Kluyveromyces lactis: one gene and its partners. The protein of the gene in region 5 purifies or fractionates together with the protein of the main gene of each other region. This does not show direct contact. Links are inferred from orthologs where the notes say so. Each region holds a gene or a part of one and is shown on either strand. Other genes may lie near its edges. The genes, in order: POP5, POP6, RPP1, POP4 and RMP1.

Region 1 (6,274 bases), on a different chromosome or scaffold from region 5:
TGAAGAAAACTACAGCTTCAGAGAAACCTGGAGTACGATAGAAATCGTAACGATTTTTGTCAAAGTAAGCCGTATATGAGTAGCCAACCGTGAAATATTTCAAAAAGTTCTCTAACTCAGCACCGGGGAACTTACTTAGTTTTTCTTTTAAATCATTAACCCTAGACCATTCCTTAGCGAGGATAGCAGGTAAAGTAGTTTCATCTAATTCTGACAATCTCCACTGTTGGCCGTTGATGTACAAGCCAAGTAATTCATGAGAGATTTTTCTCTTATTGAAGTCTTTAACAATATTCTTTGCTGGTGTTGTATCAATGTTGTCTTTAGAAGCAATGACTGGTGCCACTGCAGGAAAATTGTAGGACAACGACTTGAAATATTCAAAGAAAGAATCGAAATCATGATCTTCATTGAATTTCTCCAACAATAACGCGGTGAATTTCATATCCAAATCTTCTAGTTCCTTTTGATCCAAGTATTTCAATTTGACTGGATCCTTAATTTTTAGATCAGAATCATCGATTACAAGGTGAACATTTGCCTTTTGGTCCCAGTTTTTGTCCGATAATGTGGCACTCAATGCATATTCTGGTGTATCACCTATGATACAGGTCGGTCTCCAAGTCATTCTAATCTTACCAAACTTAGCCTCATTATAAAGATTTCTGTTGAAATCAGCAAACTCTAAATCTGTTTCACAACCGTAAAGTACCACAATTGGAGCAGAAGCATTAGTTCCGATTGCAATCTCTCTATCTTTTAACACATCGAAATCTGGAACAAGAGCTTGAGCATCCAATTCAGAGGTCTTGAAATAAAATGAGTCATCGCTCTTAGAGTATATTTTGCCATTCAAAACAAAGCAAGTTTCTTTGAATTCATCATCAATTGGTGCAATCTGTACATATTTTGAAATGGCACCGGACAAGCCTTCGACTTGTTGTACTTTCTCAGCCGAAGCTGAACTTATAGATTCCTCAATTCCTTCATCGTCATCTTCATCTTCTTCATCCTCTTCTTCATCACTTAACGTTATTTTTCTATACAACTGCATCCATTGGTCGGTAGACAATGCATCGTAATCAACAAGGGACGCTGAAAGCCATCTCTTACCAATTCCTTCATTAAATGCTTGCGTTATGTGCAGGACAGTTAACAGCAAAAACACAATTCGTAACCTAAACAAGACCATCGTGGTTTTGCACCGTTTTAGATCAGGAAACTCGTTCACTCAATCTTGTTGGAACACAAACTGTCAAATTGTGCTGATCTAAATACTCTCTTTCATCTCGAATTCTGATCTTAATAGAAGGCAAATATAAACCTTAAAAATCTTGCGGGATCTTCTGCCAATAAAAAACTTTTAAGCTGGAAATATGAAGCATGTTAAAGTCCTACACATGTTATAGAATTTGTAAACCTCACCATTACTATAATGCTACTCCCTAAGCTAGTACTATGGGATTTTACGCATGTCTATCAGATCCACTGGCAAGGTAGCTTCAGCCACTTTCGAATGAAGAGTCACGTGAGTGTATTTCTCACGTGACTCCTAGTTTCTTTCTTCATTGGCTCTATCTATCTGTGAAACGGAAAGCGTTGAGAAAAATATCAAAAAGTGATTTGAAGATATTCTGGAATTTTTGAACAATTAACTTATACATAAAAACGGATGAGTAGAAGGCTTGGACTCAGGTTCAGAGGCTACTACTGCTCTTTCGTTTGTTGTATTCGAAAGTTATTGAAAACCTTAGGCGGCATATTCAGAGAACTAGGGGGATTTCTGAACTTTTTTCCCGTTGTTTCAAGTCGTTAATTTAATCATTACTCATCGTTTTTAGCGGTTTGATTAAATCTTCCCGTTCTTGATTAGAATTTGCTTTCGAAGACGTCCTTAGGAAAGGTGTTTCGCGTTAATTGCAGGTTATTTTCCAGTTTTACAGCTAGGATGACGATTGGTGATAAGTCTAAGTGGACGGCTGCCAACGTTCGTTCCACATTTTTGGACTATTTCAAGTCTAAGGGCCATACTTTTGTTCCATCTTCACCCGTGATTCCATTCGATGATCCAACTTTATTGTTTGCCAATGCTGGTATGAATCAGTATAAGCCAATCTTTTTGGGAACAGTTGACCCATCCAGTGATTTTTACAAGTTGAAGAGAGCTACGAACTCTCAAAAGTGTATCAGAGCCGGTGGTAAGCATAATGATTTGGAAGATGTTGGTAGAGACTCCTACCACCACACTTTCTTTGAAATGTTGGGTAACTGGTCGTTCGGTGACTATTTCAAGAAGGAAGCTATTGAATACTCTTGGGAATTGTTGACCAAAGTCTACGGTATTCCAGGTGATAGATTGTACGTCACTTATTTCGAAGGTGACGAAAAATTGGGTTTGGAACCAGACTTCGAAGCTCGTGATTTGTGGAAATCCGTTGGCGTCAAGGATGATCATATCTTGCCAGGTAATGCCAAGGATAACTTTTGGGAAATGGGTGAACAAGGTCCATGTGGTCCTTGTTCTGAAGTTCATTATGACAGAATTGGTGGTAGAAACGCTGCTCATCTTGTTAATCAAGACGATCCAGATGTGTTGGAAATTTGGAATAACGTTTTTATTCAATTCAACAGAGAACAAGATCGTTCTCTAAGAGCTCTACCGGCTAAACATGTCGATACTGGTATGGGTTTCGAAAGATTGGTGTCCGTTTTGCACGATGTTAGATCTAATTACGACACCGACGTTTTCGAACCTTTGTTCAACCGTATCCAAGAAATCACTGGGGTCAGATCATACACTGGTAAATTTGGTGCTGAGGATACGGATGGTATTGACACCGCTTACAGAGTCTTGGCTGATCATGTTCGTACGTTAACTTTCGCCTTGGCTGATGGTGGTGTTCCTAACAACGAAGGTAGAGGTTACGTTTTGAGAAGAATTTTGAGACGTGGTGCACGTTACGCTAGAAAGTACATGAACTACCCTATAGGAAACTTTTTTTCACAATTGTCTGTCACTTTAATCGAACAAGTTAAGGATATGTTCCCAGAAGTCGCTAGAGACCCATCTTATTTGTTCGAAATTTTGGACGAAGAAGAAGCTTCTTTCGCAAAAACTTTAGACCGTGGTGAAAAATTGTTTGAAAAGTATGCTGAAGATGCTTTGAAGAAAGCAGACAAGACTTTGGATGGTAAACAAGTCTGGAGACTATACGATACTTATGGTTTCCCTGTCGATTTGACTGAATTGATGGCTGAAGAACAGGGCTTAAAGATCGATACAATCGGTTTTGAGAAAGCTAAACAGGAATCATACGAGGCTTCTAAGAAAGGTGGTAAGAAGGGTGCATCTGATTTGATCAGATTAAACGTTCATGAATTGTCTCAACTTAACGGTGATAATGTCGCTAAGACTGATGATTCATCTAAGTATGGGACCGAAAACGTTGAAGCCACTATTTTGAGAATATATGATGGTGAGAAATTCGTTGACTCTATGACCGAAATTGGTAAGCAATATGGTGTTATTCTAGACAAAACTTGTTTTTATGCCGAACAAGGTGGTCAAGAGTTCGATACAGGTAAGTTGGTTATCGATGGTGAAGCAGAATTCAACGTCGACAATGTTCAAGCCTACAACGGTTATGTTTTCCATACCGGTTCTCTTGGTGACGGTAAACTATCTATTGGTGACAGTATAATTGCTTCTTACGAAGAGCTACGTCGTCATCCCCTAAGAAATAATCACACTGGTACACATATCTTGAACTTTGCTCTGAAAGAAGTGTTGGGTAATGATGTCGATCAAAAGGGTTCCTTAGTTGCACCGGAAAAGTTGAGATTCGATTTCTCGCACAAGAGAGCCTTATCTTATGAGGAATTAGTGGAGGTTGAAAAACTCTCCAATGAAAAGATCAGGGACAACTTAACTGTGTATTACAAGGAAGTTGCCTTAGATTTGGCTAAGACTATCTCTTCTGTCCGTGCTGTCTTCGGTGAAACTTACCCGGATCCAGTTCGTGTTGTTTCTATTGGTAAGGCCGTTGAAGAAGTCCTAGAGAACCCAACTAGTGAAGAATGGCAAAAGTACTCCATTGAATTCTGTGGTGGTACCCATGTTGCTAAGACTAGTGACATCAAAGAATTCGTCATTGTTGAAGAAAGTGGTATTGCCAAAGGTATCAGAAGAATTGTTGCGGTTTCTGGACCTGAAGCCTATGAAGTACAAAGAATTGCTACTGAATTTGATGGCGAATTAACTGCAGTTGAAAAACTGCCTTTCTCCCCTTTAAAGGCCCAAAAGCTAAAGGAGCTAGGTGTCAGACTAGGCCAACTAACTATTTCCGTTATCACCAAAACTGACTTGAAGGATAAATTCAACAAAATTGAAAAGGAAGTTAAAGATGAACTGAAATCTAGAGCTAAGAAGGAAATTAAACAAACTCTGGACGACGTCAAACATCACTTTGATGCTAACAAAGAGTCTTCTTTCTACGTCAAGCATATTGACATTCCAACTAATGCTAAGGCCATCACTGAAGCTATCAATCACATTAAAACAAACTCGAAGGACAAGTCTATCTACTTATTCACTTGTAATGAACCAGACGGAAAGGTTGCTCACGGATGCTACATATCTGACGCAGCAATTGCTCAAGGTGTTGATGGTTCTAGTTTAGCCAAAACAGTATCCTCTAGCATCGGTGGTAAAGCTGGTGGTAAGGGAAATGTCTTCCAAGGTATGGGTGACAAACCAAACGGTATTGACTCCGCTGTTGCGGAAGTTGAAGCCTTGCTAAAAGAGAGACTGACTATCTAATTTCACCCGCTTTAATATAAACTCTTTGGCTACGATTGGCTTGAAGTTAATCTCAAGTCTCAAAGTTTTGTAAATATATGCATGAGAACTCTGATTTTCAACTCAACTATATATGATATTACTTGAAAGATATGCTACGCCTTTTGTTATATAGAGAATGAATTATCTGATATTTACACAATCTGTTAGTTAAGGTTGGTGATGCGGCAATAATGCATAAAATATTGGACATGCTTGGCGTATTCTCGTTCTTCTTCTGTGACTTGAATGCGACAAACCAAAAAAAAAAAAAAAAAAAAAAAAAAGAGAGATGCTTCACATTACAAGATTTAGAGTTATGATGGAGATCAACTGTGAAGGAATCAAGATTTTGATAAAGGACGGTTGTGCAACAACGTTTATTCGGGGGTTTCATCCTACTATTAATAAAACTTGCTGTCATAATAGGCAAAATAGAAGAAATCCAATGGTTCGTTTAAAGAGCAGATACATTCTTTTCGAAGTACTATATCCAGATGTAGATGATGAGTACGAAACAGTGCCAGATATAACCAAGAAGGACATTTTAACCACGCATCACAAAGTATCACCAAATACTATCAGTCCGAGAAATATTTTGCAGGAACTACGAAAACAATTACAGGTGAATTTCGGGGACTATGGCTTGGGAAAGGCTACGGCTTTGTTACAGATCAAATACTTTTCGAATAGAACATCAACCGGTATAATACGATGTGGCCATGATGACCATCAGTACGTAATAATGGCACTTGCTTTGATGAACCAGATTGAATCTGTTGGGCCCATCATAATGAATCCAATAAAAGTTAGCGGAACTATTAAAAAAGTTGAGTTATTTGCTATCAGAAGAAGTCACCGTTTGAACCGAATACTTCTGACAGATGATAGGAATGATGAGTTTTCTTCAATCACTGACGATGAAAATAATGACTGATTCGCTGATTTCATTCAATTAGTAGTGCTTGAATATTATTACATACAATTATATCAGTATATCGGTATCGCACAATTAAGAAGTATGAGGCTTCTTACGCACTTGAAGACCGTATTCTCTGGCATGCTCGTTATCTTCCTCATTCTGTTCCGCATTTTTGCCATCATCAGCAGCGGAGAACTCTACCGGTCCAGTTCTTCCTTTCTTATTTGAGAGTCGATCAACAATATCTTCGTTTTCTAAGTTAGAACCAGTAGTTGGCCTGTAAATGTTGTCAATCTGGCTATTATTGAACAATGGATGGTCGAAAATTTGATTTGAAGATGATGCCACAGATGATGCCGCTTTCTTGAACAAGCGGGAATCGTACTGAAGATCTGGGGTCTCGGTGGCTTTTGCAGCATTTAAAACAACTTTATCAGAAACATCTCTTCCTTGTTGGTACGCCAATCGTCTTAACTTTTCTGCTGTGCTCATTTTATTCGACCGTTCCAATTCGC
Region 2 (5,870 bases), on a different chromosome or scaffold from region 5:
TGGTGGTGGTTGCGGCGTGGACGTTGGGAATGATATGCTTGGAGGTGCAGGTGGGGCTGCAGGAGGGGTACTGATTATGGGAGGTGCTGGAGGTGCTGGAGCTGGAGGTGCAGATGTAGGAGGTGCAGGCGTAGGAGGTGCTGGTGGGGCCGCAGGAGGGGTGCTAATTGTGGGAGGTGCTAGAGGTACTGGAGGTGCCGGAGCTGGTGGCACGGCTATAGGAGGAGCTGGAGGTGCAGGTGGTAACGTTACAGGCGGAGCAGGTTGTGCTTGAACCGGAGGTGCTTCTGTGCGTTGTCTTGCTGGAGGATGTTTCGGAACCGGTGGTGTGTTCATCATGGGTACTGGTGGCGGACTTGTTGGAATTGCCGGTGCTGCCATTGGAGGAGGAGCAGGAGGAGCCGCCACTGACGAATCACCCTCACTTCTCAAAGTCTTTTTACGCTGTGGTCTATTAGAAGGAATTTTTGGGATTGAAGAGCTATCCGGAAGCGGAGGAGCTCCAGATGGAATAGCTGGTGATTTAGAGGAACCCGAAACATGTTTTAATTTAGGGATCCCACCAGCAAGTATATCTCCCAATTGAGGGACACCGGGAAGCTGAGTTGGAGTCGGGATCGATGGTGCTACAGGCGGGACTGCTGAGCTCGATACTGATACAGAGTGGCTCATCGAACTTGATCCTCCAATCGCAGGTGCACTCTTATCCACAGTGTGTGCTTTCTTAAGTTTTGCACCTTTCCTAATATCACTCAATAAGGCATCACGTCCTGGAACAGCCGCTGGGGGTGGGACAGGAGTTGCAGCGGAGCCAGCATTGGATGAATTTCCGCCAAACATAGGCGGAGGAGGTGCTGGTGGTGGAGGTGGACCAGCCATATTATTCTAATTTCTATGTTCAGCAAGTTATCTATAACAAAGTATGCTCAAATCCTTAAGTCTTATAGAACTTTTAGCGGAAACACACTGGTCAATTGGTATCGCTATGATTCTTTTCGAATAACTACCTTAAACGCAGTGGACCCCTATGCACTGCAACAGTTTGTTTCTCTCTGATTTGACGTTTCTTTCATTTTTAAATAGCTAATTGATATCTGGAAGCCTCAAGGATACCCGGACACTACACTTTCCACCCAGACACTACACTTTCAGTTCGGTGCTAAATCAATAATCAAGAAGAATACGGCAATGCAAGACGATTCTATGATACTACTACAGTACGAAGTTCACTGGACCTCTTCATGATTTCGCGGTAGCATCGGCATGTAGTAACTAAATGAGGAACATCGTTTTAGTGGAGTGCCATTCCCAGTTACCAGCCCTATACGAATAATTTACCAATATAATATATTCGGGTAACATTTTGGTATTGGACCTTGTCTTAAAAAAGTTTTCAAAGGCGATCAAGCATCTTAACAACTTACTATGTGAAGAAGGTACTGAAATCTATATATCATGTACACTATCTATAGCTAGTACCACCACCATCGGGGATTGGATTAAAAATTGAGCTAATATATTCCACAGCAAGATGTAATACGTTGTCAATTCTTTGTTTTGTTAGTGACAGGTGTCCTAACGCGAAGTAATGCATTTTCTGTCGTCGTTCTTTTAACTTAGCTAATGGAATCCGTCCTCATAGTATATAGATTTTAAGTGGCATCTTCGAAGATCCGTGCGCAGTTTTTCTTTCAGTGGTGCATGGATTCAAAGCGATGCCCAAATTGAAGATAAATTCACAGCTTCTTGCTGTGTGTTTCCCTCGTTTCTGTGGATTTTCCTCTGTTGAATGCTAAAAAACATCATCACGAATTTTCACGAATGGTTTTGGATGCATAAATAGCGTCCTTTACCCAGGAAACTGGGGCACATCTCTAAATCGTATGGTATTTTGTGATTCGAACCTTGGTTACCCAAAAAGCCTTATAATTTAGTCTCGGAAATGAACTTCTTGCACATGGTTTCGTATTCCAGACTTGTGAGGGAATGTCTTCTCAATCTTTCATAAAAATATCTATTCCGCGATAGTTTAATGGTTAGAATTCGCGCTTGTCGCGTGCGAGATCGGGGTTCAATTCCCCGTCGCGGAGAAGCTTTTTTATTTTTTCGTCACTGCATTCACATTCGACTCAAGCTCTATTAACAACACTCGTTAATTTAAGAGTATCTGTCAATATTGTTCGTTAAAGTTATTTACAACTTTCTATGTAATGCTGATTCAAGCATTTCAAGCAATGCTGGCCCCCACTCGGGTTTACGCTTGTATTGTCCAATTGAATCTTGCATTCCTTTCACTGCGTCACATAAATCCTGAATAACACCTTCCTGTGAATAGTAATCGTTTGCTAAGAACTCATCTTGCAAGTTCCATAGATACGTCTTGATAGAAAAACACATTGATTTTGAGTTTTCTAATTTGATTAGACATTGTCTTTCAGATCTGTAATGCAAATCATGACCTCCATGCATCTCTTCTAAAGTTTTCGGACGAATTTCCTCTTCCTCTGTACCCTTATTATCATCTGTGACAAACAGTTTGGAATGTGTTTGGAACGAGAAGTTTATCCTCATCACTAATTTTCCGGGTTTGTGAGTTTGGAAGAATTTATTCATTTGCGTCTGTAATTTTTGCTTATATTCTGGAACAGGTCCATGGATTTGTGTCATGGGTTTGAGGAATCGTTGACGAGGATTGAACCCTGCTGCAAATGCAAAACATCCCGAAATCATTATATATTCGTTATTATATTGGCCGTTAGCATTTGGAGACAACAGTACTAAATCTTCTTCAACCATTCTTTGTACCGCCAAAATCAACTCGTGAGCTCTCTTCGTCTTTTCTGTGGTTACTATGGCAATTCTTCCAACCTCATCAAATAGGTTTGATGGATCCTTCAACTCTTCTGGTATGATGTCTATGTTACAACACCGGTATTTCAAGAACTGCAAATCGGTACTTTGTAATTTGAGATAATGGAATGCATCCACTGGATGATACTCGTCCATGATGCTGTTGTACAAGACACCGGGTGTTTCATCATTTGGATGTAGCACCACAGTGAAGTATTGAGGGAACCTTGCGATCAAGAAACTTACTAGGGTATTGTACCACTCACAAACCGTTAGGTCAGCTTTTTCCACATCCTTTATCGTGACTAATGTGGTGTCTGTGATAGCTGCATTATCATAAGTAGTGCAATTAATCATAGCGGGATCCAAATGGTATATCACATCCTTGTAATTATTTTTGATCACATCCCACTTCTTTTCTATTCTATCTTTAAGAGTGCTTTCAAACACTAGCCAATATTCATTTGGCATCGGCCTTACACCCATTGTTAATCTGTATTCACCAGGCTTGAAAGGTTGGTAAGGGAAAGGTGGTGTATCGAACCATAATTTGTAATCCCTTTCTGCTGTAGATGGCTGGATGTCTTTCATGAAACTCACAGGTTCCCATCTCTCTTCTTGCTTATCACCGTTATCTTTTAGCGCAGTACTTTTCTTATCAATATCATCAGCGAAAACATCGTCACTAATGTTCACACTGGAATTAATTTGTTTCGCATCGCCACAAACCAGATCTTTATACAATTGATACGAAACGTAGCAAAATAGTGGGAAAGTTACCTGCTTACCCAAAATCAAACTCAAGTCGATTCCCATGTATCTATCCTTAAAGTAAATCAATACTGTTTCCGAACGTAATCGCTTCTTATCTTTTAGTTTTCGAACTGAAATTTGCCAGATATAAGTGAATTGATCTTAAAGAGTTTATATATGAATCTTTCAGCCCGTTTATATTACAGTTTTGACGACCGCAACAAAATCCCCGATAATGAATCATACTTGAAGAAACTGTCATGATCCCGTCTCTGTATCTCATGTAGTGATATCAGTGGCCTCACTTTTTTTTTTTTAAAATTGTATGCGCGAGAACAACCCTAAAACACTGGAGACGTGGAAGATTCCAACGGAAATTCGAAACATATCGCTCGAAGGAAGGGAATTTTAAAGTTATGAAATATTACGGCGAGGGATCGGAACTCAATATCCATCAATTTTGATAAGGTAAGCTTGCTTGCCTAATACAGATGAAATATAGGTCGAACATGGCAATTGCGATATTGTAGCTATTTACCAAATAAATTGGGTACGATATTTTTTTTGACGATCGGAATTTGTTCACTGTCCGCCCTGACGGATCACAAAGGTATATACAATATGTTTTGACTGGAAGCGTTATCAGTATACTTTAAATTGTGTCAACGTTGAAGTTACGATTGTTTTGTGAATTTATTAAGGCTTTTGACTTCTTGTTTAGTGAATAAGGTAATAAGTATAGGCAAGTTGACTTTTCTATCCAATAGTTCATTACGTCCAGCCTTGATTTCAATAAACGAGTCTAGTTTATTAAATTGATGTAGTGCTTTCCCGTTTTCAGTAGTCTTGAAGATCTCTATTATCGAAAGTGCTTTTTGTACATGAACTCCATAAGCAACAAGTACGAATGTATCAGCAGTGATAGCTGCGAGTTGATCCACACATTGTTTAATATTGGAGTTTTTACTGTACGAAATAATTGCTCCTACAGATGTCTCAGACGCATTGTTCCAACCTGCACTTCGCAGGGTTTCTGGGATGATTTTTTCTTTGATGTAGGTCGAACATTCTACGTAGGTGGAAGGATCTATGCCTTCTACTTCAATTTCGTTATATTTTAGTTTGGAAGAAGCCATCGTTGTTGCTTTGTAGCTAATTACTCAACTAAGGCGAGTTTCTCATCGATTGAATTATCAATACTCAATGCTACGATAACTTGGGAAGTTATTGTAGATTTCTTTTCGACGAGATGGGATGAGCATTGATACGATGAAAGCTATTCTGCGGACTGTTTACACCCTTACATATGTAAAAAATGTCAACACAACACCCATGCACCTTGATAAAACTCCAAAGGAATTAATTTCCTCTTTGACTAGTGGTCACGTGCATTTAAACAATGCAAACCCGTTGTATTAAGCAATACAACGTTAAAGTATTAACAAGTCCGGCATATGGATTGAATCCTCAGCACCAGATGGTTTTCAAGCGTAGAGGGTACATCCTGATACCATTCACTCAAGCTCCTTCTTTTTTATAATATACCATATGAGTTACACCTATTTCTGTATGATTAACGGATGCTTGTTTGTTTTTCATGTGGGCCTTAATTTGGAAATTGGAAAATCTCAAATTTTTCATCGCTGAGGGAAACCAAACTTGAAAAATATTGAATTTTATGATAAAACGTCCTTTACATATGAATATACATAATTGGATGTTAAGTACTTGATTAGATTTGTAGTTTGTATATAGTTTACAAGAACCACAGGTACTACCTTAAACATCCTATCACTAAAAAAGTCGAAATGGGGGGCGTCCGTGAAAAGAAAGCTGAATACTTTGCCAAGCTAAGAGAATACTTGGAAGAATACAAGTCTGTCTTCGTTGTTGGTGTTGACAATGTGTCTTCCCAACAAATGCACGAAGTCAGAAAGAACTTGAGAGGCAGAGCTGTTGTCTTGATGGGTAAGAACACCATGGTCAGAAGAGCTGTCAGAGGTTTCATCTCTGACTTCCCAGACTACGAAAAGTTGTTGCCTTTCGTCAAGGGTAACGTTGGTTTCATCTTCACCAACGATTCCTTGCAAGATATCAAGGAAGTCATCATCGCCAACAAGGTTGCCGCTCCAGCCAGAGCTGGTGCTGTTGCCCCAGAAGATATCTGGGTTCTCGCCGTCAACACCGGTATGGAACCAGGTAAGACTTCTTTCTTCCAAGCTTTGGGTGTTCCAACCAAGATTGCCAGAGGTACCATTGAAATTGTC
Region 3 (6,550 bases), on a different chromosome or scaffold from region 5:
TAATGGTGAAATTGGAATTGGTGAGAATGGTGTTTCCAGACAAGAGAAGGATAGTTCTGTAGTAGATAAAAAGGACAAGAATGGTATTTCTAGTGTGCAAGCGGGTTTAGAAAGTCAACGAGGTACAATTCGAGAGCTTGAGAAAAAAGTTTCTGAAATTGAGTCTATTTTACCTGAAACTGACGAAATAATTCAAAAGAGTATTGAGTCAGTTGTGGTGACTTTGAAGAACTTATCGCATAACCAGCAAGTTTTGGAAACGAAATTCGAGGACCTTTTAAAGAACCAGGTGAATTCAGATGCGGCCATAAACGATCTATCCGTGGAGATCATCAAGATCAACAGGTTGTTATCCGATAGGTTAACGATGTCCGCGACATCAGGTGCATCGTCAGGGACGATGGGAACTGCTGCGTATGGATCACCCGCATATATGTCATCTGCAAGCGTCTCTCCTCCTCATAGGGGACCTGGTAGACCACCTAAGAAGAACACTTCGATATTGTCCAATGGCGATAAAAAGGCGAAATTGCCATTCCCAAGCGATCATATATCAAAATCAAAACGTCTTTTCCTGGACCCAAGTAAAGAAAAGACGGAGTCCAACTCAGGTTATGATGCAGATGGGGTTGGCAACAGTCGATCTCGTAGTTCTGCTAACGTCAAGCAAGAGACTCCTCAGGAACCAAAGAAACGTAGAGGTAGACCTTCAAAGAAAAGCACATGGGAAGCTCAACTCACTTCTTCACAAAGAAAGACAAATGCTGCAGATAATGATACCAAGGAAAGGCAAAGCTCTAGCTCTAGACGCAAATCTCAAAGATTGAAAAGTGGTTCGCGCCAATATGATGAACAATCGGATCTTTCATCATCGTTTTCCGGTATGTCTGATAATGAAGGGCAAGATGATGAGGGCGATGTCACAGACGATCAGAAACAGTTGGCTAATGATATGCATGACTCTCGTTCCAGAAAACAGAAGGAGCTCGAAATGAAAAGAGATGAAAGAGAAAGGATGCTAGTCACCATGAAATATAGCGATCGTAACGTTACCAGGAATTTCATGGAACTCAACAAAGATCTTTTCATGGCCATGAAACAAGAAGAACGGAAGAAAAGAATGACAGCGGTGCCTTTCAGCGTTCCAGTACCGTTGGGTAAATATCAACTTTCAAGTAAACATTTGGAAGAGTTATCAAAAGTACCTTTCTCCCTGTCGCAAACAGCGGAGAATTCTTCTGGTGCTCAATCACCTTCGTCTAATCCTCCAGACTCTGCTCGCTCTGTGACACCACAAACAATTATATCAGCATATAACAATTTGGAACAACCAGGCAATGTAGGCTCAGTTTCTACGGCAAGTGCGGATGATGTTAACGGTCAAAAATCGTCGTTACTGAATTCTGAGCACAAGGATCTGAACGGCTCTGTGAAAAGAACATCTTCGGACATCGGTGATCGATCTCAAATGTCCAACGAAGCAGAGGGACCACGTAAGGTCAGAATCTTGTCTATCTTGAATGATGATGCATCTACTGGTGTAAAAACAGAAGAGAATGGCTCGGCTAGACCTCATCTGTTAGACATGCCAAATTCGACTCCTCAAGGATCTGCAGACGCATTACCAAGTTCTCAATTATCTGTTGATTCGACAGAAAACTCGCAGGATAACTTTTCCGTCACCACTTTACAATCTGGTGGTGAATCACCAAATAAGAAAAGGCATCTAACATTGCATGATCGTCGAAAGATGAGCAGGATGATTCCGATGTTACCAGAAAAGAAAGATAAAAGGGGAAGACCAAGCTCTAACAATCAATCCCAAGAAAATGCAGCGTCTTTGTTAATGTCATCCCCTGTGGAACTTTACTGCCGTGAAGGTTTTTTTTATAGAAAAGGTTCTACAATTCCAATCACAGCGGGAGAGTATTTGGATTTGAAGTTCAGACACAAAGAAGACGAATTGATTAAATTAACAATGCATGAAGAAGATTACGCCGAGTTAACAAGACAGGATAGAATCAACGCGTATTTCCTTAAACCAGACGTTGAGATTGAAACCTCAATGGCTTGTCAAGTTTTGTCCAATGTCATATTAACCGAGAGATACGTCAATTCATTAGAATATTTCCTGATGGAATTCCGTTGGGAGAATAGATTGGTAAGTTTAGGTCTAAAGCTAAGAGAATCTAAGAGAACTTGGCAAAGACGGAAAGCCTTATTTGCATTATTTGAGTTTTGGAGAGACAAGTCGAAAGATAAGAGAGGTTTCCACAATTATACATTGTTGCATGCAATCAAAGAAATGGAAAATTACAGAGTCTTCATCAATAGGTCGGTTTCATGGTTTTACAACCACATTACCCTTTTAAAAATGATTCTTTTTGATTTATGTGATAATACGAATACTCATTGGAGAGAATGGATGTTCGCCAGAGGCACTGAACTACCGCTTGTTGGTAAAAATGGCGTCGATGTCATGAATATTAATAGAGAAATCGATAATATTTTGGTTCTTGATTTCCTAGAAGATGGTAGCAAAAATTCAAACAAGAAATCAAGTTCTATTCCATACAAAGAAAACAGTGAAGGCCCTCTAGAACAGCCTTATGTTACGAATGATGTTCCCGCAGACAAGGGAACAAAGGAATTACACACTGAGCATGTCCAACAACAGTCAGAAACCCCAGTTCCGGAACTGGCTGGAAATAGAACTGAAGAAAATACAAACCATGCTACTGGGGCGGTAGCTGTAAATCAAGATCAGCACTTACCTTCTTTACCGAAAGATTCAGAAGATGTGAACTCTACGCAATGATATTTATGCACATAGATCATAATGGTTCCTTTTTGGGCGCTGTTTTTCATCAAACCTATTTTAACGGACATTTTATCACTTTATGGAACAAATAGTAAGGTATGTACTCTATAAATAAACTGACAATTATTCTATTTAGATAATATTGTTCTCATACTCAAAAACATTGTGACATGGCCGATTGGATGAAGTTTAAAGTTGTATTTTTCAACAGTTGGGCTTTCAAGTAAGGATTGTACTTCATAGTATGTTATAATATCTTCAAGTATAATTTTTTCGGAAAAGACATTACAATAATCTACCAAAAAAAAAATCTAGTAAATAATGAAACATGAGCATGAGATGAGGTATGCTGGACACTCAAATGGAAACAAAAGTTTCTGTTGAATCACTTGTAAATACTCCTTCCAAATTTGCAAAGCAAAATAGCTATTTGAAAGGATGTTAGTTGATTTAAACGTTCCTTGGCCACAGAAGGATTTTGCAACACCGCCTTCCACGAAGGAGATTAAAACGCTGCACAAGACTCTAGCGACATTGCATACACTAGGGTACACTCACATAGCTTTAAATTTCACAGTAAACCAACAGGATAAATTCCCAAAATCAATCAATGATATGAATCCTATCGATCTATCGCATTTTGATGAACTAGTGAAATCTACGGGATTAAAGCTATATACAAGAATCACAATTATTATAGATGACCTTTCAAAAGGCCAGCCGTTGACAAAGATATCGCAAGCTTTCGATATTGTGGCAGCCCTTCCAGTCAGTGAAAAGGCTGTTACTCTCGTAACGTCTAGCTTGGATGTTGATGTGCTATCATTTTACTACGACAAAAGGCTTCCTACACTTTTGAAACATCACATGATGGGGGGTTGCATTAAGAGAGGAGTCAAAGTAGAAATTGTTTATGCTAACGCTCTTCGAGATATCAGAACACGTAGGCAGTTCGTATCTAACGTGAAGAGTGTGATCAGAACTTGCAGGAACAGAGGAATCGTGGTCAGTAGTGGAGCAACCAGCCCACTAGAATGTCGTAATGTCATTGGAGTTACAAGCATTTTGAACTTTATTGGGCTTCCGAATGACAAATCTCGTAAATCCATGGGCGAGCTTGCTAGTTTGGTACTTCTAAATGGTAGATTAAGAAATAAGAGCTATAAGCAAGTCATTTGTATTGGTAACGAAGATGTAGTCAATGAAGATTTTACACAGAATTCATCGTTCAAAATAGTCAAAAGGAAAAACCCAGATACACTGGAAAGTGATGACTCGAAAAGAACAAAAAGCTGAATTACCATGAACTTAATTTTCATACTGCACTTCTACTGTTGAATCTCTCGAAGCATTCAATAGTACCGATAATACGATATATAATAGATTTTATATTTATATAAGGAAAATAGTACAATAAGCATTAAGCAAAAGATGGATACAAGGTAAATTTAGGAAATTATGGGTAAGAGTAATGATATCGGTGATTTCAATCCACTTTGAGTTCATCTTTAACATGTCCAATTTTACGTTTAGTTTCCAAAGTCAAACTTACTATCAAGTTCTAAACCCAAAGTTATTTTTCATTCTAATATCTGTAAAAAGAGCAGGTTACTGTTACCCGCAACACATACATGGTGTAAATCCGATCAAAAGCTCAGCGGCTATTGAAAAGAGTATAAAAGTATCCAGCTTGGAGACTTTACGATTTTCTTCTTCGAATCATAAACCGCCTTACATAGAAACGGTCTATTATATAAAAAACACAGACAGTACGTAAGGCAGTAACTTGGGAAAACAAGTGCCACACAAAGTTAAAATGGGCGAGGTGAAGAGTTACTTACGAAAATGGAGACGCTCTTCCATTCTTAAAAGAAGCAGTTTGAAGGATAAACGGAAAGAAAATTGGGAACAACGTATAGAGAAGTCCTTGAGCGAATGCGATGACATTAAAAACTTATTGGCTGGTCGTCCAACGACACCTGATATTGCAAGAACGAATAATAGTACATTCCTTTCCAAGCGCTCTAGGGCTTTTGTTACAGAACCGTTATCGAACCAAGAATTGGATAAAATCAAATATATGAATTTTGCAATGGAGAGAGATTATAGAGCAGGTACTAGGCCAGTGATACCGAGAATGGATTCAACCAACAGACGAAAATTGAGCGTAAATCTCACCCCGACATCGATTTCAGCAGATGACTCCGAGAATAATGCGATAGTGAAAGACTTTTCTGAGTTCATTGAAATTTCTTTCAATAGTTTGAGCATTTCCGATGAATACACACCCCAACCAAGCTTTTCCAAAGAGTCCGAGGAACCTAGAACCGCCAGTTCTAAGAGTCTAGAAAGTCTATGGAGTAAAAATGTGAAATAGTCGTAATTGGTAACCATGTTGGGTCAACTAATGACTTATCTAACCCACGAAAAAAAGCCGTAGAAACTTGAGAAAAAATAACGGCCGCCAAAAGAAAAAAAGAAGACATGAAACCCAAGAAAAAAGAAAAAACCGGATTGGCGATGGTGAATTAGAGAGGTTAGAAAACATTAATTTTCGATCAACGAAACGTATCTGCATTCCTGAAGAGGGTGCGAAAATGAAAAATCGTGTTTTTACCTAATATAGGAATTCCTAAATTAACTGAATCCAGTAGTAGTTAACCATAGATGCGAAAAATGTCAGAAAATTGTGAAACCTAGGAATGCATGAAACATTACCACTGTGGACGCGGCCGATATATGTATATATAAACGGATAAACATGATCCAGGGTACAAAGGCCATGATTTGAATCATCAGAAACCAGGCATTGCCGAATAAAACAACCAACAGATCTGGGCCAATACTTATGATGAACGTACCTCAGATCAAGTCGATCTGGCTCGATGAAGACGATGAAACAGAAAAATTATATGGTTTACAAGCTCACCAGCTTCTGGATTCTGACGATGATGATGAATTGGGCGTTGTAATGATCAATAGTGATAAACCTGTCTTAAGTAATAGGAAAAACATTAATCTTCCTCCATTGCCGCCAAATGCGTATGATAAACAATCTGGAAAGAAATCTTTCAAGAAGAAGAAGAACAGCCTCTTAAAACTGTTTCAAAATAAATCAAGTAAAGAAGAACCTCCTAAGTTAAAAATTTCTGTCCCATTTGGATTTAATCACATCTCACATGCAGATTCTAAGGCAGGATTTGAAATGCCTACTGCAGATTCACCACCACCATCTAACAGTCACTTACAGGATATACCGGAAAATACCAAATTTCCGACAAACTCAACAATCAATTCCCCAACGCAAATGACTAAAGCTTTCGTAACAGATGCAATTCCATATGCTAAACACCATCTGGTTTCTAGAGGGTCATCTACAAAACGTTCTTCGGTTGGATCCAGTACGTACTCGAACCAAAGAGTGACATCAACTTCAACAATGGCTACCTCCTTGCTAAACGATTCGCATATGCGTTCCATTTCAAAATTAACTACCCTAGAGAAGACACATTTGAAGCATAAATATTCTCAATCAGATGCCAGTGAAGTAGATGTCGATTTCCTAAAAAACTATCAGTTCCCAACTTTGCTAGAAGAACAATCAATCCTCCAGGTATCAACACCTGAAACGGGAGACAAGAAAATAGACAAATTCCAATGGGAAACACCAGTAAATTCTGCGGATCTTTTAGAGACTATGCTTTTGGATGACTTGAAATCAGTACCAAA
Region 4 (6,478 bases), on a different chromosome or scaffold from region 5:
TTCACCATACCATTTAATGGTTCCGGTAGTATGAGTCCTGAAATTTCGGATGAATCCAACGAGTCCGAGATGTTAGATTGTTTAAGAATGACAGGAGTTATCTTTGGAGCTCTCTTCATTCTCAATGATTCAATTAGTTCGTCGTTTAGCTGCTGGAGTTCAAGAATGTGAACTGACTTCAACAGCCCACAGCAAAGTAGCTGTTGGTCGAATCTCTCGTTTGTTTTAATCAGCTGCTCGGAACCCCCCAATGACTTTAGTACCGACCGTAGAAAATATTTTCTCTTATATATGTTCCATAGTAACTCGTCTTGTTTTGAGTCTGGCGGAAAGATGTCGTTCATAAAAATGCAGCATGATCTAACCAGATCTTTAATCCCAGAAAATTGCCCTTCCTCAGAAACCTTACACAACCATCTGTCAACTTTTTCAATATTCTTTATGTCTGCATTAAAAGTCAATGTAATCATATTCTTCATTATTGCCTTTCGATTAGAATCAAAAGATTCGCTTGACATGGAATAGGTGGAGATGAAGGACGACAAATAGTCTTCGTCAAGCATTTTACATATAACTCGTACTACGAAGTTATCATATTCCTCACCTCGCCACGGGTAATAGGCATATATCATATCCCCTAGCTCTTCTATTATTGTTATTATCGTCATTTGATCATCCATACATCTATCGAAGAAATCCTCGAAGTATTTAAACTTCAATAAAAGAATATCCACAGTATTGATGCTTAAATTTTGACATAATATTTGATATTCGGAACAGTAGTATATGATTTGTTTTTGAAGACTGTCGACTCTTTTGAAGTGGTCAGAACTATAAGTAAAGGAGTTAATTATGCGATTAGTGGTTTCTTCAAAAAGCCCCAACACTGACGATTTATCAATTGGAATATCGTACCTGATAATGTTCTTGACCAAACTGAACTGGGATGTTGTACGTGATTCTAACGCTTCGACTATAAACGATTCGATAGTTTGTCGTAGTTGCGAGTGCAATCGATTTGCTATTCTTGAGAAAAAGACTAACGTTGCGTAGCCTTCTAATGATCGGCAGGAGATATTTTCCAAACTATTTGGAAGGTTCCGGAGAAAAGCCTTGGTGTAATATTGCAAAGAGTTCACCTTGCCCTGTATCTTTTTGTAAGCATCTTCTAACTCACATAAGTTTGTTAACCATTCTATATTCGTGAAATCTTCCTCGTCCACCTGTTCATTTATCAATTTGCTAAGAAGTGACCAGAGATCTTCAACAAACGTGTCCTTAAAGACAGCAGCATATTGACTTGAATTACTGGAAGCCTTAGCAAGCCTCGGTACTTTACATCTAATCAATTTTTGCAAAGTGAAATATATCTTTTCATCGTGTTTAAGGTCATCTCCTGGGATTTGATATTGTCTAAGCAGCAGTTCGAGCTCAGATAACAGAGAATCGTACAGAACTTTTGAGCTTTTGATTCGTTCGGGAACCAATAACGGCATGTCACATTGACTGTACGTTGAGGGTGGAACCTTTATGCGATACATACTGTCCCATAACAATTGAAATACTAAGTGTTATATGATCCTACGTACTTGCCCAATACTATATCAAAAAGACATACGAGTCACGTGCCAGGTAAAGGAAGTACATTGTGTTGGCTACGTAACTAGCAGCCAATGACGTAACAGTAGAAGTTTTGGTATACTGAGCTCATGGTATTGTGAAAATATTATTCACCAGAAGTTTACTGTTAGGTTTGAATCCAAGATTAAGTGCAAATATGCCATCTTCTTTCCTGATCAAGAGTCCGTGCTTGACTAAGGATGATAAATAATGGCTGAACATTGCTTGGTTGCGAACGGAAAGAGCACTAATCATTTCATCTAGCGACCAGCTTAGTTTTTTATTGAACAATGTATCAAGAATGACAGCATGACATAAATTGAAGTTTATGGATATGTTGGTTTTTTGAAAAATTGTAGGTTTCATGATGACTCTATGTAGATGCGGTTGATCATAAAAGTGTACATTAATACCATCACTTGTAATCCGTGGTTCGTGTTTGTTAACCCATTTTCCTGGCAGATTAAAAGGAAGTTTTGCCGAATTTTCTGAGTAAATATTAGGAAATATTTTTGCTGGTAAGATGATATCGTTCTTCCTATTGTTTCTCGTTATCTTTAATGACAAATGACTGAACATCCTGTTAATATTATTTAGTGTCCCAGCATCCTGCTGCATTACTATGTAAAAGCGAGCGAGGGGAGCGTCAAGTTCTAGTTTCTTGCCAACTAAAATAGATTTGACTAGATCTATGGTTAGATTATCTCGAATGATTTCTTTTATAACGTATTGCTCAAAATACGAAGCAGAAAATGGTTGAAATTGTCGAGTGTTCTTCAAGAATACTCCTATTTTCGTTAGCCATCTTCTTTCTTTTTCAGTCATGTTGTATGCTTTTTTACCCAACACATCTCCAATGTTGGTAGTGCCTGGAAAATAAGTAAGAATGTGTTTCACCATCAGTCTCATGAATTTAATAGTATTTTTAGAGTCCAATTCAAATGCGTATTGGCGGCTCATTATAGGCTTGCGCTGTTGAAGAATGAAATCCATCATTCGGATCAAGAGGCGGTGGTAATTAGGCCCAACCTCAGTCAAATCTTGTACCCACTTCGTAGTAATTTCGAGGTTAGCAGATAGTATATCCTTTTCGGTCAAAACACTTTGTAAACCACATATATTATAGCTGATACGCTGAGAATTGAGCGGTTGTGATGAACCGAGTTTCTGTGAGATCGAAGCTTTGTAGAAATCAACGTCAGCAAATACAGCAAAAAAACCGGCACGAGTCACTGCAAAAACTTCTTCGGGATATATTTGGAGAGTCACGTTGTGCAAATAATTCATGAAGGTATAAGCTTCCGCTTCAAAGTCCTTAATATCTGACTGTACTTGCAATTGGGTTTTGAAGGTTAATACCAAGCCCTCGAGAATAGATAAGATAAATCGTGGATTAACATCGTTGTTCTTAGGTAGGGATATCGGATCCAAAAAATGATGATAATGTGAATCAAATCCTAAGTCTGAAAATAACTTGCAAACCTCATAAAACTGGTCATTCGATATGGATCTTGTCTCAACCTCAATTTCAAACCCTCTTCTAATTAGATCGTTCAACTCAGAATATAATTTATATCCAACAATGGTGACCAGCCATTGTACGAGAAGTGAGTAATGTCGTATATTTAACCCGAGTTTGTGTAGTGCTCGCTCTAAAGGTAAGAAAAGAGGCTGTATTTTCCTTAGTTGAAGTTTTATTGTTAGGATGTGTTTTGCCAAGCTCCCAATAGTCAATGGACTTTCAATAGTGTTAGTCATATGCTGCATTTCATTGTCAAAGCTTTGTAAGAAACCTCTTGTGACATCGAGTAAACGGTTCTTATTGTCGTCCAATCCATTAGCATCCGAGTACCTTAGTTGGTCAATCCATCGTGTAAGTCGTTTATTCACATCTTTTAACTCATCCTCTGATTTATTCACTAAATTACCGTAGGTGAACCATGTTAGCTCTTTTCCGTTTCGAATATTCATGGGAAGTTAATAGTTCATATCTTTCAGGTGTCATACACAGGGCTCAACGTATAACAAGAAGCTCTATTGCTCCTGCCACTTCTTTGTTGAAGTGCATCTTGAATGGAGGTTTGACTATTGAACTATCTTGTCTTGGCCAAAAAACTGGAAATTTTGGCGATTTTGCAGACCTTTTCTTTGCAATTCAGTGTAAGAAATTGCTACCTTGGTCTGGTATTGATGGTTTCACAATCACCTAAGGGTAGTACACGGCATGAATAGTAATGGTAACGATTTGAAAGAAGAGTCTTTAGATCCTGCCAAATATTTGGCGGAAACTTTTAAGAAGGAGGGTCATTTAGACAGTTTAAAGAATGAAATACTATCTCAAAATGTAGAGGGTGATATTAGCTTGGACGAATTCATAAAGAGCCGAGTAAGGGATTTAGTTCGTGATAGGGTAAATGAAGATGAGTCTTTAATTTTCAAGAACAGAGGTACCACGACTGCTCTTCTTGAGGGCCAATTATTTAAAGACGGATTCAAGAGTTTAAACACGTCAAATATCGATGTGGAGAAGCTTCTGAGTGATTCACTTGACGATGCGACGACGAGACAAAAGATAAGAACTATCCTTGAAGCCAAAACTAATGATAGTTGATTGAACAGATAAAGTAGCAAGGCTGCTACATATATATTTTACTTCGTTAACTAATGTAATATAATAGGTCATCGCAACGGCGACTCTTAAATTTTCTACCGGCTCTATCAACACTTCTATATTTAAATCTATCACCAAGAATTGTATAGGCTAAAGATTCTTCTTCATTGATTGGAATCTCGAAATCGAAAGTTGTTCCTTTCTTCGGTATGCTTTTCAATTCATCGACTAATCCGCCTTTCGTTATGATTATGAATGTCTTTTGAGCATCCCATATTACAATACCATTTTTCCCAGTTAATGACTTGTTTTTGGATTTAGATACCTTCAACTTACACCCGTTATAATCAGCCATAGAGAGCTTGATCAAAGTTTGCTGAGAGTTCAAAGGTAATGGATTTCCAACTTTGTGATTATCTGGGATGTTCAACAATTCTTTCATGTATGGACACCATATATCTTCGAACATGGAGGAGAAAGTTTCAAAATTCGGCAGTTGCTCCAATAAATCTTTGTGTTTCTCTTCAAGGACCCTTTGTAGCTGGTCTCTATCTGAAATTTTTAGTCTCTTGGCTAACTTTTTGCAACTTGCGGATGCATTATTGCATTTGTTTATATATTCCTTCAACAAAACTCTTGAATTCTTGTTCACTGCCTTGTAATTTGGATGTTTTAACCCAGCAGATCCACCCATACTACTTGAATGAAGAAGTTTTGCCTTACTCTTCTTTCTAAGCTTGGTAGACAGACCTCCATCAGTTGGCATCAAGAACAACGTCTGTGTTAATCTATTCTCATTGATAGGTTTCCTTGGATTATCAAAACATTTAGTGAATAAGCACTCTTCTATAAAAGGTTGAATACGATCCATTTTGGAAGCCCGTATATCCGTTCGCGAAGTAACAGCTTTAAAACGCAACACTTACCGAATACTGGTTGTACCCAGCTTTAAAACCGGTAAGATTGTTGTCCCTTCGGCAGAATGTTTCTTTCAAGTTTATCTCATCTCAATTTTTCAAGTTTTACCCGATGAGCTTCCGATATTTGATTTACTTCCATGCACAACGTTGTGAAGATGAAGATATAAATTTCGTTGGGCTGAACAATTTGTGAGGACCTCTATGGGTGAGAAGCATCCATGATCAGTAAATGTACGCATCGAGTAGCGACAACGCTATTGAGAAGTGGTATATCCGTTCCAAAACGACTATATACTCCAGCAAATAATCAGATTCCATTTGAACTGGATGAAACAGATGAAAAATACAAAGAGCTCAACAACATCTATCGTGAGCTCTTCACTCCAACAGATAAAGCTAACATTCTTACTACAAAAGATATTGAATCAAACAAGCGTTCTGAAGTTGATGAAATAAATGAAGAGCTAAATTCCTTGTATTCTGTCGGTGTACTTTCACCAGCGGAGCTGGAAGACGCGGTAAAAAGTAATGGAAGGTTCGTCATCAGAAGTGTATCTACCAACCCATACTTCAACCTAGCTTTAGAGGACTATGTGTTTCGTAATACGCCTTTAACTGAGAACAAAACGGGAAATGAAAGAATACTGCTTTATACCAATGATAAATGTGTCGTTGTCGGTAAGAATCAAAACCCATGGAAGGAAACGTACATGAGAAATATCGCATCAAGAGGGTACAATTTTGTAAGAAGACGTTCAGGTGGAGGTGCAGTAGTGCATGATTTAGGAAATGTTAACTATTCGTATTTGACGTCGAGAGAAAGTTTCCGCAGAGAGTTCTTCAATCAGCAACTTGTACAATGGTTAAGTAATGAGAACATTACGTTGAACGATAGAGGCGATTTGATCTATAAAGGTTATAAGATAAGTGGTAGTGCTTTCAAAATAGCTAAAGGAAAAGCTTATCACCACGGCACAATGCTAATAGATTCAGACCTGGCTCAATTCAAAGGTTTACTAAAACCGGATGTAATTCCTGGGGTTGAATGGACATGTAATAGTGTCGAAAGTGTTAGATCTAAGGTTGATAACATTGGCGGAAAAGCAATATCGTCAATTGATGACTTTTGCAATTTGATTACGGATCAGTTCAGAAATCTGGTTGATGACTCTGAAATTCCTATGTTTTATTGTGATGAATCAAGTTCTTTACTCGAGATCACAGAGATCTCCGAAAACTTACGGAGCAAAGAATGGAAATTTATGTCAGGCCCAAGGTTTGAGGTAATTTGTAATGACGTTACAATAAAGGTCGAGAAGGGTGTAAT
Region 5 (5,168 bases):
TGGGTACACATCACCAGCTTCGACATTCGCGATTAAGTCTGATTTCAATGTTGATCTTATCGTATTCATCAATTGAGAGTTAGTATCTTTCTGTTCAATGAACACATCACCCTCGAGTAAGAGTAGTTTCACTAAATCACAATCTTGGTTGTCTCTGTTGTCTAACGAAATGCATAATGTATTGACATCCAAAGCACTGGTCAAAGATACAATTTTTTCATCGAATTCTAAAGTTTGATGCAAAGATAAAGCACCAGATTTTTCATCCACTTTCAGCACAAACAGTACCTTGGTAGCTTCCACGAAAAATGCAATATATGGGACATCTTTTAATGTGACTATTTTAGCAACACTGTATTCAATCACATCGCCTTTCTCATTTTGGAATCTTTCTGGTGCCAAATGGTCACTAGTTAAGTATTTTTGAATCAAATCTGTATAGTCAAACTTGAATAGCAAAGCACCAGTTTTCCAGTTCCAGGAGAAGACAAATTTGTCACCACCAGCACTGAAAAGTAGTTTATCACTCCACTCAGGGATGCATATAGTAGAAACGAATTCTTCATGGCCGAACAACCATTTGTCCACAATAAAACTTTGAGGATAGTGTGAGATTCTGATGTGTTCATCCCTGTCTGCTGTAACTATATATTGTTTCCCCTCAGAGTCAGTCAACATGTTAACATCTGTGAGCATGGATACGTGCCCTAGGATTGGTGCCTTTTCGGCGTTGATTGAAGTAATTACGTCATTTTGGATGGGCATAGAATAAACGTCTCCAAATTTATCAGCAAGAATTAGATCCTTATCGTCAACAGATGTAGTTATAGCATTTGGCCTCTTAGGGTAAGGCTGACGTTTAATTAGTTTAAAAATGTTGTCTTTATCGTCCAAATCGATATTGAAAATGACAGCTGCCTTGTCAGAATCGGTGCAAGCAAGTAATAATTTCCCATCTCTTGACAACGCAAGGTTTCTAATATATTGATACACTGGAGGAGCTCCTGGGCCAGGTTTTGGAACTTTTGCCTGCTTCTTGGGTTGTGCAACTGGCTCGCCGTCATTTGTCTTCAATTTTTTAGAAGCATTCTCAATTAACTGTCTGGCTTGCTCTTTTAAAACCTTCTCTTTAATCAGAGGTGTATTATCCAGATCATCAACCCACTCCCCACGTAGTACGTATCCGTTCCCTTCAACTTTAAATGCCTTTATCTCGTTCTTCACAACACAGAATAGTAAAGAACCATCCCGGTTCAAAAGAACTGATTGAAATGGATGAAGCATTGGAGGAAAGACGCTAGTAGAGTCGAATCCCTAAGTTGTAGCAAAGTTATGTTACTCACTGTAGAACACCTGAGGCCCAATCCAACTATGAACTGCAGTACTTGTCCCTCGTCAACCTCTTAGTCTTTCGTACATATTTTCACATCTTGAAGCTTGATTGAAAATCCGATGCGATGAGCTTCGAAAAATTTTAATAAACTCGTAAGGACTCAAGACTAGTCTTGATTTAAAAGCATAATTATAATCATCATAGGGCTCACTAATGGATCTGAATTTTTCTGAGCATGTATACAATTACCTATAAATCACTTGAATCGGGTTTATAATCCTTTATGGTGCGTGAATGAATGCGGTTTTGTACATATCGTAGCTTTGAATTATATGTTGAACTAAAATTCGGAATTCTTCTGCAGTATTGTCTGCTGAAAAATTCGTTAAAAAGAGAGAAACTGATATCTCTGCACTAAAGGCCTTCGACCTTGATCCACCGATTGAGATATAAATCTACAGGATCTTTCCAGGTTGAAGCTTGGTGACAAAATTGAGTTCAAGTGTGCAGCACCGATTCATTTTGTCTGAGTGCACCGCATTGCGTTAATCGAAGGATTTTCAGTGAAATACAGTAGCTGCAATGTCATCTAAACATCCTTGCATCAAAGATGGGTGGTTTAATGAAGTTAGTGATAAGAGTTTCCCAGGTCAAGCATTCTCATTGAAGGTCAACAAGATCCTATTTCACGAGAAGACGCAATTTCAGGATATACTGATATTTGAATCGTCAAATTATGGTAATGTCTTAGTGTTGGATGGTATCATTCAGGTAAGTGAGAAAGATGAATTTGCGTACCAAGAACTGATCTCTCACGTTCCACTGTATTCACACGAGAACCCAAAGAAAATTCTAGTTATAGGAGGTGGAGATGGTGGGGTTTTGAGAGAAGTGGTGAAACATTCTTGTGTAGAGGAAGCTACACTGGTTGAAATTGATGCTAAAGTCATAGAGTTATCAAAGAAGTACTTGCCAAACATGGCGTGCTCTTTCAAGCATCCCAAGGTAAATGTGAAGCTGTGCGATGGGTTCCAATTCTTACGAGATGTCGCAGAATCGGGTACAAAGTACGACGTAATAATTACTGATTCGTCTGATCCGGAAGGGCCTGCAGAAGCATTTTTCCAGAAGGAATACTTTGAGCTGTTGTACAAAGCGTTGACTGAAAATGGTGTTGTTATTGCACAGGCTTCTGAAAATGTCTGGCTGAATTTAGAATATTTGAAGACGCTTCTGAATACGTCTCGTTCAGTTTTTCCAGTAGCTGAGTATTGTTACACTATGCTACCCACTTATACCTCCGGTCAATTAGGGTTGATCGCATGCTGTAAGAATCCAAACACAAATCTCATTGACCCCTGTCGTGCTCCAACTGAGGATGAGCAATCTCAGATGAGATATTATAATAACAAGATGCATTCCGCTGCTTTTGTCTTACCTACATGGGCTAGAAAGGTACTAAATCCATTGTGAAATTCTGTAAACTGAACACTAGAAAAATATACATTATGTAAATATTCGAATACTCGAAGGAACTACAATCAACCGAATAGATCATCAATAGCTGACTTCTTCTTCTTTTGCTTTTTCTTTTTACCGTATTTATTGTCCTTTTTCCCGCTGGCAGCTAGCACTTTTGAGTTGTCATCTGTACTTTTAAAAATCGCCATTGTTTCCAGATCTTCGCCAATTTCTTCCCCTATCTCTTCGTCAGCTATAGATTCCAAAGCTTCCCGTACCTCGTTGTCGGACATCCCAGGGTTGACAGAACTGGTATTGTTCTTTATGCATCCAATCCTACGGAAATCTTCTTCCAACGTATCATAAATGTGCATGTATACCGTATAAATACGTGCCAAATTTCCTATCAGTACTACTCCCAACGTCACAAACTGTCCCAAAGATATTACACCATTGAAATCATAGTACATCTTCTTTATCTGTAACTTCAAAATCGAATACAACAACGAATGAAGCTTCAATAACTGTTTATCATGGCAAACGCCTCGAAAAACCAAGCCTTCAATTATACGTACAGCCTGTGCCACGTTCCTTTTCAAAATATTTAGCTGTTTCCACCATACAGTCGCCCCGTGCTGGTTCTTATTCCTATGATATATGAGGTATACTATTCTTAATTCTTGGCGAAGCTGCACCACTAGTTTCTTATTTATTTCAGAAATACCACCCATGATATTGAGTAATTTATCGTCAATACTCTAACAAACCAGCATTTCGTACAAAAATGAGAGCCAGGACACGCATCTCTGTTTCATCTGTGCTTCACTTCTACCTCATCTCATCTCATGTTCTTAATACACCGATTCGTTTTTTTTTCAAGATCATCATCATCTTTCGAACAAATGTTCCAAGAAAAAGCCTACAATTGCATCCTGCACCGCCCTTTATTGAAAAGAAACCAATAATCATTGCACGCGAGATGACCTGTCACTCCGTAAACGGTTAATTGGATAATTTGAACTCTGTTAAATTGATTGATTATTGTGTCACTTGAATCACTGGAAAGCAAAAAAGCCTGAGTTTTTCCATTGATATTTGTGTCAGGAACGTCGAGCCTCGAGTCGTGCATTGAGTATAAATTAGAGTAAATTTATGCTCGAATGAACCCAATTGAAACAAGAGAACTTAATAGTTTACATCCTGTTCATTGCAAGAGCGGTTTTTGATGGTTTATCCAATATAAAGTAACTCGAAATCTGTCTGCTTCTTAAACAAAGAATACAGTCTTCGAGCCCCAACTTCACATAATTATACCTTCTTTTTAAACATTCCAAAGTATGTCGTATCAGAGACCTGGGGTGAATATACCAAATGGTTTTCAGAGAGATCCGATCCCCCCTCCGTATGCTGAAACAGATCCATTATCTTCCAATTCACAAATACCCTTACAGCCCCCTCCACAGGTACCACCACGAATTCCTCCTAGACGAACTCAGGATTCAGCTTTTGGAGATTATGTCTGGAATAGAAACACCCCTCCGTTGCCTGCAAGGCCAAATACGCAGGGAATTGAAACGGTGGTCCCTAATAACACATCTCGGTCAACTACTAACACAATGGATGAAGTAACTAATCAACTAATGTCTGCTAATATCTCGGCAACAAACGTTTTCTCTTCGCCAATCTCCACTGATCCACCTTTGGCTGTTTTCTCAAAGGTAAATCATGAGGTGCCACTCCCTTCAGGGACTAACAATTCCGGTAAACCAACTGAAACCAACAAGTTTTATGGGAACATCATGCTTGGTGGTGGGACAAATCCAATCTGGACCCATCCATACTCAGTTTGGTATTCTACTGATTCATACTATGGTTTAGCTCTAAATCAGGTTACCGCAGCCCAAAGAGTCTTTGATACCACTAAGACTCCACCTCAATTTTTCTTTGGTCCTACGGGTATCAAATCGCTAGTCTATTCGTCAACTGATTTCAATTCTGCTGGAGACATGTCGTTGGCATTTTACAACATCAAACACTTATCAGTGGATGTTCAGTTGAAAAAATCTGACACTGAATTTATTGTCTTTCCTCTAGTTCAAGGTATGGGATTTGTTACTGCTATTTACTATAATTTAATCCCAAGATTGTCTTCTGCTGTTGGTTTCAAAAGTATCACTGGTGATACTTCACCAAGATCTGGCATTAACAAGTACAAGATATTGCTCGAGAACAATGTCACTTGGACATTGTATGTTACCATTCCATCTGGTCAATCATTATCTTTAGCCTTATCGAATGGGAATACTATCGTTGGTAACAACTCTGTTAACGGATGCGTTTTTCAAGTCGTTGCGGATTCCAACCAAAACATTGA

What was found.
Region 1: the proteins of RMP1 (region 5) and POP5 purify together in Saccharomyces cerevisiae (affinity purification with mass spectrometry; 3 studies listed by BioGRID, with this or other methods). This does not show direct contact. The link is inferred for Kluyveromyces lactis from reciprocal best matches to the Saccharomyces cerevisiae genes RMP1 and POP5.
Region 2: the proteins of RMP1 (region 5) and POP6 purify together in Saccharomyces cerevisiae (affinity purification with mass spectrometry; 3 studies listed by BioGRID, with this or other methods). This does not show direct contact. The link is inferred for Kluyveromyces lactis from reciprocal best matches to the Saccharomyces cerevisiae genes RMP1 and POP6.
Region 3: the proteins of RMP1 (region 5) and RPP1 purify together in Saccharomyces cerevisiae (affinity purification with mass spectrometry; 4 studies listed by BioGRID, with this or other methods). This does not show direct contact. The link is inferred for Kluyveromyces lactis from reciprocal best matches to the Saccharomyces cerevisiae genes RMP1 and RPP1.
Region 4: the proteins of RMP1 (region 5) and POP4 purify together in Saccharomyces cerevisiae (affinity purification with mass spectrometry; 5 studies listed by BioGRID, with this or other methods). This does not show direct contact. The link is inferred for Kluyveromyces lactis from reciprocal best matches to the Saccharomyces cerevisiae genes RMP1 and POP4.

What each region holds. Positions count from the first base shown.
Region 1 is NC_006042.1:218,900-225,173, forward strand, and holds POP5 (RNA-binding protein POP5), read left to right. Parts: upstream 1-5,129; coding exon 5,130-5,774; downstream 5,775-6,274. Other genes in the region: KRE5 (Kre5p), read right to left, coding at 1-1,192; ALA1 (alanine--tRNA ligase), read left to right, coding at 1,949-4,819; mRNA splicing protein PRP45, read right to left, coding at 5,850-6,274. UniProt on the Saccharomyces cerevisiae protein: Component of ribonuclease P, a protein complex that generates mature tRNA molecules by cleaving their 5'-ends. Also a component of RNase MRP, which cleaves pre-rRNA sequences.
Region 2 is NC_006038.1:533,548-539,417, reverse strand, and holds POP6 (ribonuclease P/MRP protein subunit POP6), read right to left. Parts: upstream 4,740-5,870; coding exon 4,278-4,739; downstream 1-4,277. Other genes in the region: VRP1 (Vrp1p), read right to left, coding at 1-879; KLLA0_B05995g (heme-dependent oxidative N-demethylase family protein), read right to left, coding at 2,194-3,666; RPP0 (60S ribosomal protein uL10), read left to right, coding at 5,412-5,870. UniProt on the Saccharomyces cerevisiae protein: Component of ribonuclease P, a protein complex that generates mature tRNA molecules by cleaving their 5'-ends. Also a component of RNase MRP, which cleaves pre-rRNA sequences.
Region 3 is NC_006039.1:1,284,189-1,290,738, forward strand, and holds RPP1 (RNA-binding RNA processing protein RPP1), read left to right. Parts: upstream 1-3,259; coding exon 3,260-4,117; downstream 4,118-6,550. Other genes in the region: SUM1 (Sum1p), read left to right, coding at 1-2,818; KLLA0_C14740g (uncharacterized protein), read left to right, coding at 4,638-5,198; GIC2 (Gic2p), read left to right, coding at 5,670-6,550. UniProt on the Saccharomyces cerevisiae protein: Component of ribonuclease P, a protein complex that generates mature tRNA molecules by cleaving their 5'-ends. Also a component of RNase MRP, which cleaves pre-rRNA sequences.
Region 4 is NC_006042.1:193,855-200,332, forward strand, and holds POP4 (RNase P/RNase MRP complex subunit), read right to left. Parts: upstream 5,103-6,478; coding exon 4,278-5,102; downstream 1-4,277. Other genes in the region: cullin RTT101, read right to left, coding at 1-1,541; KLLA0_F02167g (uncharacterized protein), read right to left, coding at 1,708-3,591; SHG1 (Shg1p), read left to right, coding at 3,845-4,231; AIM22 (putative lipoate--protein ligase), read left to right, coding at 5,370-6,478. UniProt on the Saccharomyces cerevisiae protein: Required for 5.8S rRNA and tRNA processing; associated with RNase MRP and RNase P.
Region 5 is NC_006040.1:1,447,180-1,452,347, reverse strand, and holds RMP1 (Rmp1p), read right to left. Parts: upstream 3,526-5,168; coding exon 2,875-3,525; downstream 1-2,874. Other genes in the region: TRM82 (Trm82p), read right to left, coding at 1-1,284; SPE4 (spermine synthase), read left to right, coding at 1,916-2,806; ACF2 (endo-1,3(4)-beta-glucanase), read left to right, coding at 4,132-5,168. UniProt on the Saccharomyces cerevisiae protein: Functions as part of ribonuclease MRP (RNase MRP), which is involved in rRNA processing in mitochondria.